Xenopus tropicalis: one gene and its partner. The protein of the gene in region 1 purifies or fractionates together with the protein of each later gene. This does not show direct contact. Links are inferred from orthologs where the notes say so. Each region holds a gene or a part of one and is shown on either strand. Other genes may lie near its edges.

Evidence for each region. The genes of interacting proteins can lie anywhere in the genome.
Region 2: the proteins of ppp2r2c (region 1) and cct2 purify together in Homo sapiens (affinity purification with mass spectrometry; 4 studies listed by BioGRID and IntAct, counting the BioPlex papers as one, with this or other methods). This does not show direct contact. The link is inferred for Xenopus tropicalis from reciprocal best matches to the Homo sapiens genes PPP2R2C and CCT2.

The regions. Positions count from the first base shown.
Region 1 is NC_030677.2:25,386,267-25,393,066, forward strand, and holds the start of ppp2r2c (protein phosphatase 2, regulatory subunit B, gamma), read left to right. Parts: upstream 1-2,993; 5' UTR 2,994-3,339; coding exon 3,340-3,409; intron 3,410-6,800. UniProt on the Homo sapiens protein: The B regulatory subunit might modulate substrate selectivity and catalytic activity, and might also direct the localization of the catalytic enzyme to a particular subcellular compartment.
Region 2 is NC_030679.2:59,115,777-59,120,809, reverse strand, and holds part of cct2 (T-complex protein 1 subunit beta), read right to left. Parts: intron 4,942-5,033; coding exon 4,838-4,941; intron 3,781-4,837; coding exon 3,661-3,780; intron 3,032-3,660; coding exon 2,903-3,031; intron 2,825-2,902; coding exon 2,721-2,824; intron 2,625-2,720; coding exon 2,525-2,624; intron 2,048-2,524; coding exon 1,906-2,047; intron 1,136-1,905; exon of another isoform or gene 167-1,135; coding exon 136-166; 3' UTR 1-135. UniProt on the Homo sapiens protein: Component of the chaperonin-containing T-complex (TRiC), a molecular chaperone complex that assists the folding of actin, tubulin and other proteins upon ATP hydrolysis.

The DNA.
Region 1 (6,800 bases):
TCTAGGAAATAAGGTTCTTAGGGGGTTATGTAATGAAAGGCACTAAGTTTGCCCAGGAGCAGTAACCCATAGCAACCAATCAGCAGCAGGGCACCCTACACACACCCCCACACACACCTCCCTGCTTGCAACCCTGCCCTCCTTTGCACAACCTGCGTTTGCAAACAGCTTATACTGATCGCCGGTGCCGGGGACTGGGCGGGAGATTCAAACAACTGTCGAAATCTCCCGACCAGTCTCCAGTTTAGATTTTTTCCGCCCTGGGGCCGGGCCTTTGTGGCCTGCCCGCAAATCCAGGCCTGATCAGCAGGTAGAATTTACTGGTCACCTGTTCGAAAGCAAACATCTTATTGGTTGCTATGAGTTACTGCTACTGGGCAAACTTTGTGCCTTTTATTACATATGGGGGTAAAAGTGCACAAAGCAGGGCCATGAGTTTCAGCTGGGCAAAGGGAGGCAGAGAGAAACAACAACAAGTTTGTGGTATTCTGCTTGTGCAAGTGTAGGTAATGCTTTCTATCTATCGATTTCTGCAGTGATCATACTGGCATGTCTGGGGTTAATGGAGCCATCATTGGTCATTTCTGCAGCAATCTTACTGGCATGTCTGGGGTTAATGGAGAGCATTTTTATGGTCTATAATGGTCTATAATGTAGACCATAAAAGCTATAATGTAGATAATAAACTTTGTTGTACAAAGCAATGCCAGTCAGCAGCTGCAAGGGCAAACAAGGTTTTGAGCTGTATTAAAAGGGGTATAGATTCACGGGAGGAGGGGGTTATTCTTCCCCTTTACAGAGTGCTGGTAAGGCCCCATCTAGAATATGCTGTGCAGTTTTGGTCTCCAGTGCTCAAACGGGATATTATTGATTTAGAGACGGTCCAGACAAGGGCACCTAAGTTGGTAAAGGGCATGGAAAGGCTCAGTTATGAAGAGAGACTGGCCAAACTGGGGTTGTTTATGCTGGAGAAGAGGCGCAGCAGTTAACCATTTCCCTCCTTCTGATTTTCAAATCTTGTGCAGTATGGTGTAGTAGTAGTATTAAGCTCCACCTCTTTAAGATCCTTTTGAGGTGCCCGTTCCTCATGGCTCACCTCCCATCAGTCCTAAATACGAACGCGACACTAGAAGAGCACCAATTCTCATTTCCATTTATCAAATTAGCCATCACAGCAACATTTCAGCACCAACCCGCTCCCCCCCTTCTGACCCTTGCTAATAAGGCTTGTGTATTTATGCCATTTTGCACATTGCCATCTAGTGGAAAGATTAAAAACAAATTTTAAAGGGGACAAAAAGACCACATTCACCAGCCAGCTTTGCACTTCTAACCTTGCAATTGGGTATAGGTGGCATTTCTGCTGCCTTGTATCCCCACTAACATGTCTAAGCCCTGTACAAACCAAAAGAGCTAGTTCACACATGCCGATACACATCACTTGTACCCAACAGATGGTGCAGCTACACTTTTTTTTTAGGCTGTTCTGGAGAAGATTTAATAAAAATGTATGTTTACACAGAGCTGAAATGTCCTCCTGCTGTTGTTGTGCTACAACTCCCAGTATTTCCCACAACAAGTATAATGTGTGACACTTAGTTGTGTGTAGTGACAGTCACAGTAAAAGATCACACTCACACGACTTTAGGTACAAATTAGTTCCAGAAATCTCATTATCCTCTGTATAGTAATAAATACTGTAAATTCATAATGCTGAGTGTATATTGCAACCTAGACACTGGATACCCCCACACTTTGTGTTTTCTGCCTCCTTTTAGATTGTAAGCTCTATGGATCAAGGCTGTCTTTACCTACTGCATGGGCCACTCTTTGTATGTGAATTGTGTGTTTAAAGCATACACTCATTTATTGTACATTGCTGTTGGTACTTATTAAATGCACATTATTGATATTAATAATGGTACCCCTAAATAAAATCTACAATTCCCATAATGCTACCCTGTAGAGAAAAAAAGATCCCTGGCAATTCAACAAGAATGAGGCCCCCGAAATATTTGAGTTGGTTTCAGTTAGGGGTGCCTTGGGATAGAATTCCGATATGTATGCGACTGTTACACAATATATGCCAATTGTTCAACCCTTATCTTCACCTCTTGCAGGGCCGGAACTAGGGGTAGGCAGAAGAGGCAGCTGCCTAGGGTGCAACCATCAGGGGGTGCCAGGCAGAAGCCTCTCCTACCTACCCCTAGTCTGCTCTCTTTAGCCATTGCCCCCGCCGCTTGTCATCGAATCACGAACCTCCCCCGCGACTGCGCATGTGCGCTAAAGCACATGGGGAGTGGTGCGAGGTGGCCGACGGGGTTGCCTAGGTTGCCTAGGTTGCCCTGTTGGCTTGGCCCGCCCTGACCTCTTGTATCGGTTATTGATTGCTTTATATGTTACTCTGTATGTCCAATATATGTAACCCACTTATTGTACAGCGCCAGGGGTAGGCAGAAGAGGCAGCTGCCTAGGGAGCACCAATTGGGGGGCGCCATGAAGCCTCTCCTGCCTACCCCTAGTCCGTGCTCTTTAGTCATTGCCCCCGCCGCTTGTCCTTACGCAGAGGGGGCAATGCTCCATCAAATCGCAACACGAACCCCACCCCCCGCGTTCAACTGCGCATGTGCGTCAAAGGGGGGGTGCGAATGAGGAAGGTGCAGGGGCGAGGTGGCCGACCGGGTTGCCTAGGGCGCCCGGTAGGCATAGCCCGCCCCTGTACAGCGCTGCGGAATATGTTGGTGCTTTATAAATAAATGTTAATAATAATAATAATAATAACAACCCCCCCAGGGACCAGTGCAAATGCCCTTGGTGTCCTGCCCCATAAGCAGACCTTTGGCCAGTAACACACATCCCTGAGCCCCCTTTTCCCCGCAGTGTAATGCTCCCCGGTAGCAGTAGTAGCAGCAGTAGCAGTAGCAGTAGCAGCCCCTGATGCAGCCAGTGACTGGTGCGCTTGGCCCAGATCAATGTGCCTGGGAGGGGCGAGTTCTGATGCAGCAGCACAAGCCTATGACAGCAGCAAGCAGGCAAGTCGCACACTGCTCTCCCAGTCTCACGGCTGCTTTTTACCGCAGTGGGCGATCGCCTGGAAGCCAAGCGAGCATCCCCCAGCAGGAAGGGAGGAGGACGGTGCCCAGTGAGCGATCGGAGCAGCCCGGCGGGTCCCTATTGCTTGCGCAGCGGTGCCCCCCCCGTATCAGGATGGTGCGCTCCGGGGCTGGCTGCGCTCCCTTCCCGCGTTAGGCAGCAGCACTATGGATGGCGCTCTTGTAACGACCTCTGCTCATTTCATCAGTCCGCTGGGGACAGGCATGCTGAGTGCCGCTGCTGTCAATGGGCGAGGACGTGGACACGCGAAAAATTAACCACAGCTTTCTCCGGGATCACAACTATGTGACTGAAGGTACCAGCCCCCCAAATATCCCCCCCCCCCTCAGTGTTGTGAATATTGTGCCCCCTCTCTGTCACTTTGATTCCAATTGTGCCAGCCACACTGTGTCTTGTCATGGTATCCCCCGTGTGTGCCAGTCTATAATTCCCACTGTGTTGGGTATCATGCATTGGGGGGGCAGATGGGAGAGTCCAGCAGCATTGGCTTAGGGCAGTTAGGAACAGGTCCTGCCCTGACCCACTGAAAGGGGTTATTTACTGCAGAGTGGCCAAGTGAGGAAATCTAAATGACATAGGGGATAATTAACCAATAAACTACTCACTTCAGAAATGGTACCCAACCTCCTAATAAATCCTGTGAGACTGAATATCATGGGGATTTTCTTTGATTTGGTCAGTTTTTAGATTCAGTCAATTAATATTTAATAAATTTTGGTTTATCTATAAAACCTTAACCCTGGTATTTGTCGCCCTACAGCCAAATTACAACTCCCCCCCCCCCCTCCAGGGGTTGCTGGGAGTTAATGGTTGCTCAGCAGAGTGCCTGTCTATTGAGACAAATAAATGCAAAGCCAGGCGTTAAAGTGTCGGGTCGGTGGAAGGGGCACATTATTTGTGGTTCCCTCTGCCCTGAGCTTGATGAGCAGAGAGGATCGTATGTGAGGAGCTGACAATGGTGGAGCCGTGTAACAGCAGAGCAGTGAAAGCGCTCGGTCATGAAACCCTTTGGCTTGGTGCATCTCAGGGCAATAAATGTTTAATTAGTGATCCGAGAGCCTGCGCTCTAACGTGGATCGACAATAGTCAGGTCAGCAAAATTGCATCCCATGTAAATCGACCCACATATAAATGGCTCCAGCTGCAATTCATAAGGTTCCTAGTTCGGCCAGTCACACGGTCACGGATGGCTAGAGATACATGAATATCTATGGGCAATTAGAGGTGGCAGATATATATTTAATGCTAAATTAGATGGACTAGCGTGTGCTTGCATGTTCCCTTCAGAGACTGTTCCCCTGGTTGGCTTCATGGATCATTATTGGGTGACCAAGGGCTTAGCGCTCCTTATAAATGCACCCATCACAAGAAGGTTCTGCAGCAGCTTAGGCCTCTGCTTTATTAGATGGCCTAGTGGGTGTAGTCATCTATCTGTCTATCTATCTATCTATCTATCATCTATCTATCTATCATCATCTATCTATCATCATCTATCTGTCTGTCTATCTATCTATCTATCTATCTATCTATCTATCTATCTATCATCTATCATCTATCTATCATCTATCTATCTATCTATCTATCTATTATCTATCTATCTATCTATCTATCTATCTATCTATCTATCTATCTATCTGTCTGTCTGTCTGTCTATCTATCATCTATCTATCTATCTATCTATCTATCTATCTATCTATCTATCTATCTATCTATCTATCATCTATCTATCATCATCTATCTGTCTGTCTATCTATCTATCTATCTATCTATCTATCTATCTATCTATCTATCTATCTATCATCTATCTATCATCTATCTATTATCTATCTATCTATCTGTCTGTCTGTCTGTCTGTCTGTCTATCTATCTATCTATCTATCTATCTATCTATCATCTATCTATCTATCTATCTATCTATCTATCTATCTATCTATCTATCTCCCTATCATCTGTCTATCTGTCTATCTTTCTTGTATCTGTCCTTTTCTTCACCCATCAGAACAGACACAGCTTGAACATAGATTTATATTTTCTTTACCTTCGCATTTTAGCTGTTGTGCGTTGATAAGAGAGATGAGGGAGATGTGGAGACTTTGCCTGGATGCCCTGGAATCCATTAGATGTTCCTATGGGGTAGAGCTGAGGGTGTATTCTGTATATTCTTTTTGATGACTGGATTTGTTCTAAGTCTATTCTGATTCTTCCTCTGTGGGTCCTAATACAGTATAAAAGGAATAATTATCCCCACTTGTAAATACATGGTTATTAGACATAGTTGTGTGATCATGTAGGTATCAGGCCATGGTATACAGATGATGGAACTCCAGTGTGACTTGTAATATACGGTATCTCTACTTCTTTTTTTAACTTTTCTTTCCCCATTATTTCTCCCTCTCTTCTCCCACTCTCTCCTGTTCTCCCCTCTCTATACCTGTATTCACCTTTTTCCTTTACTTGTGTCCTCCCCTCTCTTCTCTTTTCCTTTTATCCCTTCCTTTCTGCTCGCTTTCTCTTCTTTTAACCGTTCTACTTTTCCTTCTCCCCTAATCTGCCCCTCATCCTTTTTATTCTGACACTCCTCTTATCCCGCACTACCCCTTCTCTCCCTATATCCTATTTTATTCTTTCTTTCAGTGGCGTAACTAGTGTGCCCTGGGTCCCCCTGCAAAAAAATCTTCAGAGGGGCCTGGTGCACAACAATCCATACCCGGCCCCCAACCTGCCCACTTCCCGCCCCCTGCCGATGTCTTCTGCCCACCCCCTACCGGCGTCTTCTGCCTGAAGACTGTACAACTAGAGGAAGCAGACCACCCCATCCCCCGTTCCTCCCTTTTTTTCTCTGTATCCTTTTCCTTTTCCCTTTGCGTTTACAGTATCCCTTCTACCCTTCTTTTTCTATGTGTGCCATTCTCTCTCTTTCTTTCCTATTTAAAGTCCTCTTTTCCCTATAGTTTTTCTTTCTTACTATTTTCCTGCTTTCTCTCTCTCAACCCTGGTTGCCTGTTGGCACTTTATGGCTTCTTGCTGCTTACATGTAAAAAGCCCTGTTCATACCTTTAACATTTGGCTACCCCCATTAATTATAACTTTCCTTCTTCTTTATGTTACTGATGCAAGGAAGAGTCTCCTGAAGCTTTTCTGCTCAGTTCTGTCACTCCTCTCATTCAGTGCTAGTAATGTAGCGAAACACAATAAATGGGAGGGGCTAAGCAAGGGCTGCACCATCAGCTGTTCAGGGCTGATATCTGTGGGGCACAGTATAACAGTCATATGCCTTTATATAGGGCAGAGCATCCTACAGCAGTATATAGACAGTGTTCCTGATTAATGTCAAACCCTATATAAATATATGAATTGTATAGAGGGACAGTTTACAAAGGACGATAAGATAACGTAGCCCTAATTGGAAAATGCATATTTCACAGTAACCACCAGGCCTTTTTGTCACCATTTACCACCAGGTGTAATGTTCAGCATTCCATACTAACTACAGTCTTCCTGTTTGTGCCTGATTGAGAGCTTTAGGCCTCTTTAACTGGGTCTGATATATACCTGATATGTTTTTTTTTGGCTCGTCAGTTTTATTTCCCCGATTATACCAATCCCGCAGTAGAATTTCCAGCCCTATGTGTGTGCATGAGTAACTTTGCCTTTAGCATATTGTTGTGAGTCACATTTTTTTTCTT
Region 2 (5,033 bases), on another chromosome or scaffold:
TATGCAAGTGCTTGGCTGACTAAACACACACAGCATTTTTAACTGTGTAACAGCATTTTGCTCCAGAAATTTCTTCTGGTCCTAAAATAGGGAAACTTTCGCCTGGTCCACAAACTTGGTGCAGTTAAAGGGTACTCAGCAAGGATGATGGTCTGGTACACGTTTTCTATAACAGACAAAAAGAAGAAACTTACATGCATAAATAATAATGCCCAGAAGCAGAAAAAGAACAAAACTTGAAGCACATACATCAATACCAAATGCCTACATTCCTTCCCTTCCATTCGCTACTCATTCTAGTAGATTATAACATTTTTCCTGATAAAGGGCACGCAGCTTGCACGAAATGTCTCTATGGTGGTGTTGATTTTTAATATATTTATATTTGCAAGATTTGAGTGCTGCTCATTTTTCTTATTAGATTATATTATATATAATTGCTAAGGATTCTTCCTTGGGGGCAACATTAGGTCTCATATCTAGCAAGGCTAGCAAGGGAAGTGTAATGCTAAGATAAAAAATCAACTAAGAACTGCAAAAGCGCGTTTGTATCAGGAGTGGCTGATTATTTATGTTTGATATAGGATATAAATGAGGCTTCAATAGTTGTCCAATCAGTTATATATATATACAAGCTTATCATTTTCTCCTATTTTACTGATCAGGTATTACTTTGGTGCTATAAACAGTGCACTTTCTAATGCATATTATGAGAAGGGGCCCACAGGCTTCTTAAAAGGTTTCAGAAGGAACACACCATCTATATTATTGCTCACATACAAGTAGGTTTGGACACTAAGTTACCCTATGAATAGTATGTGTAGTATGTTTTGCTTATGGAGTGAATGGTATATAGTCCAGCATGATTTACTTGATAAAAATGAATGAGCCTGCTTTTGGTCAAATTGTTTGTTTCTGACATACATTTTATTTTGTTAAGCACTATTTCCATGCTGCACTATTAACTTGCACTTTAAAGTACCCAGGTAAAACCGTTTATTATAACTTTATGAATATGAATGTTAACACGTTACCAGTGAAGAATATATAAGCAGGTGGTACAACAGCTTTGAATTTTTAAGGCAGAGTTTTTTGTATTTTAATTAATAAAGATTTGTACTCCTTAAATATATAATTGGTGTGATGTGTGCCTTGTGTTTGTAGGTTTATTCATGGGTTTTCACCTTTTTCCAATTCGCTGAATAACAATTTAAAGGAACAGTTCAGTGTAAAAATGAAACTGGGTAAAATAGACTGCGAAAAATAAAAATATTTGTAATATAGTTAGACAAAAATATAATCTATAAAGGCTGGAGTGGGCAGATGTCTAACATAATGGCCAGAACACTACTTCCTGCATTCAGCTCTCTAACCTCTTAGTCAGTCAGTGAGGGGCATATGGGACATAACTATTCAGTTAGTTTTTGACTGAACAGTTATATCCAATATTCCCCCCTCAAGTCACTGATTGGTTACTGACTGCTAACAGCTTAAAGAGCTGAAAGCAGGAAGTAATGTTCTGGCTATTATGTTATACATCTGCCCTACCATACCATATATTACATTTTTGCCTAACTTACTATATTGAAAATATTTTTTCTTTTGCACAATCTACCTGTTTTACCCAGTTTTATTTTTTACAGAGCTATTCTTTTAAGAACCTATACTCATGGACAGTACCTTTGTTGAAAAGTCCTCACACAATTCTGTATTTTTATTACATGCAAATGAAGGACTGATTACATTCCTCAGAATTCCCTGTCCTGAAACCACTTACTCTTAATGCAGTACAGCAGCATTATCAACCCTAAACCTCCTCATTAGATCTTAGTAGGTTAAACAAACTGTAAATCATTAATATACTTTTCCATGTTTTTTGTAATAAAATAGCAGTAACCAGGCTACCTTGGTGCAGCTTTGATGATGTTATCAACACGCAAAATAACTTCAGCGGCTTCAGAAGCACTCAGCAAGACTTGTCTCTTTACTTGGAAACTTTCAGTTATACCCAGCTCTCCCATTTCACCTATGGTACCATTTTTCATATCTGGAAAACAAAAAAAATTAAGCCATGGTTTAATTTTCAGGGTTTAAAAAAGAGAAAACATACAGTAAAATGTTTTTACTTGTAACAATGCATAGAAAGAATGATAACCATTAGGAAGAAATGTAAGAAACAGTGAAGATGAGTGGCAAATTATTATGCACCCCCTCAGTGACTAAAGTTGCTCACATTCTGGCACAGGGTACTTTGCTATAGAGTGCCATGCTGCAATAAACACAATAAAAAACAAGTTCAACACATTACAAATCTTAAAGAAGAATGTTAGTAACCACCAGGACGGGCAATTAACTGGTTCTGCAGGAAACGACACCAGGCCAGTTTGGGTTTTTAAAACAGGAGCACCAAACCTGGTGTAAAAGGAGAATCCCCCAACAACAACCAGGTGTTTGTTACTTTCCTTCACCTTTAGGTTCTTGGTTTGCCATAGAGCAGGCTTCTTTACTAAGGTTTGTTTCTTACCCAGGCCATAGGTTGATTTCCCTTCACTGTGAGCTGCTCTGAGCTGAGACACTAGATCAGCACTATCATAGCCTGCATTATCTGCAATAATGGTTGGTAGCTAAAGAAAGAAAAATATACAGGTTACATAATGCCTAGCTTAGCATCAGAAAATAACTGAATTATAATAGGTATGTAGATTATACGTTATACTTACCATGCGTAGTGCCTTTGCAAAAGATTCCATGGCGACAGACTCTTTACCTGGTGTTCTGATTGCAAGTTCTGTCACAGCATGAGCCATTAGCATTTCTGAGCAGCCTACAAAAGCAAGAATAACGTCAAAAGTGAAGTCACTCAATCATAAACAAGGCTAACGTCAGTCATTTTTGCACATACCTCCTCCATAAACTGTCCTTGTATCTTTTACAGTCTGAGCAAGTACGCAGAGGGCATCATGTAAGGATCTCTCGGCTTCATCCAAAATTTGCTGAGTTGCACCACGAAGAACAATAGTGCAGGCCTCACCTGTCATCATCAAAAGACAAAATACATTATGTGCAATAATGATCCAGCACCAACTAAAACTCAATGTGTGTGTGGATTTTAACTTATTATATCGTATAAGGAAATCCAGCACTTTGCACAAAAGTGACCACAGCTGCAGGAAGAGATAACTCAGATCAGATAACTGACTAACCTGCACTTTCACAATAATTTAACAATGTTACCTGAGAAAGATAAAACGATATGTTGCCATTCTAACTTGCTGGCTATGTTTGACAAGGAGACCATGGATGTATGAGGGCTCTGGCACACGGGGGAGATTAGTCGCCCGCGAACAGGGAGTTAATCGCGGGCGACTAATCTCCCCCGTGTGCCAGAGCCCTGAAGGTTAAGGATTCTCCAGCTTGGGAAAGAGCTGGAATCACAACTGTTGCACAGGATTAAGATAATGTAATTTTTTTAAATATATGTTGCTAAGCACATTTCCTTTTTTTAAGTGCTCATAATATAAATCTTACAAACCTCCATATAAAAGAAGCAGGCAAGGCTACATTTTAGAATTGCAAAGAGAGATAAAACAAACGGTGAAAAAAAAATATTTTTTGTTGCCACTAATCGTTATGGCAAGCACAACACACTTTGATGCTTACCCATGGCAACACCAGAGAAATGAATGAGCTTATCCTCTCCAATCATTACTTCCTCGATAAGCTTACAGGTACCCAGTTTAACCAGCTCAGGATGATCAAAGGTTGAAGCAATCTCACCACCTTAAGGGACAATAAATATATATGCAGTTTTGTTTTTCAGAAAAAGGAATGCTAGTTTTATTATAACCAATAAGCAACAAAAAGATTAAAATATAAGCTACCTAAAATATGTATTATTCTCTGAATAATATGATGGGGAGATGGGGAAGGGAGTTGGTTTCCACTGCCTATATGAGAGGATACCAAATGGCTACTGTTTCCATATATGATAATCTCTGCCATATCATAAACAGATTAGAAATGGTCTAGCCGAACACTGACCCCTTGTGGTCAAAATCTAGATGTCACTTGGCATTTTATTCACAATATACACATAATTATGGTTGTTTGTAGCTTCAGTGCTATTATGGCTATTATACTGTTAAGTTAGCAAGGCTTTTCTGTACAGGGAACAGAAATTATAAGGCCACTGGTCACTTGGGCAATGGGCGCTGTTAACAAGTACAACAGAGCCTTTACCATGCCCCATTATTGCAAAACCTCTGCTGCCACTGACCAGAGTACCCCCCTGATGGCAGCGCTGGCTTAAAGACTCAGACTACTAGGGAGCAACTCTAATCTTTACAATTTTCTCAGACCTTTTGTTTAAAGCACACTTTGAGGTCTAACATTTAGTTACAGATACCTAGGAAAACACTGCTGTATTAGACATAGCTCCAAAAATATACTGTTCACCCAGTAGGATCTAGGAGACCAAGCAGGTATTGTTTTCAAAACTTACCACCAGCTGCTGGTCCAGAAGCCCCTAGAGGGGCTGTTTCAAAGTTTAAAATCAACTACTTTAAAGATGTATTTCTGGGATAAATTAAGCAGAACTAATGCTAAACTTATCTGAATATAACAGGCTGTCTCCCTCTAATTTGATAAGAAAACCAACATTCAGCTAAGGTGCTACTTTTAACTCATTACATTAATGCCAGCATCTGTAAAAATCTAACATTAGCACTTTTCTAAGTAAACAGACCACACTGAAATATTGAAGACATGAGGTTGTAACATACCAAAACATCAAACAGTACAACTAATAAACTGCACATAATTGATAAAACTTCAGTACCTGTAACAAGGGCTAAACGTTCGACACCAGCGAAGTCTGCATGCTCAATTGCCATAACGCCTGCAGTTGCGAACAACTGCTCTGGGTAGTTATAGATCAGTTGCCTAGAAAAGAAAAAATAAGCATTCTAATCACCAACCTCCAAACTGAACAGCCACGGTAAAATTTCTCTTTGGGAAAAAAAAAAGAAACTATG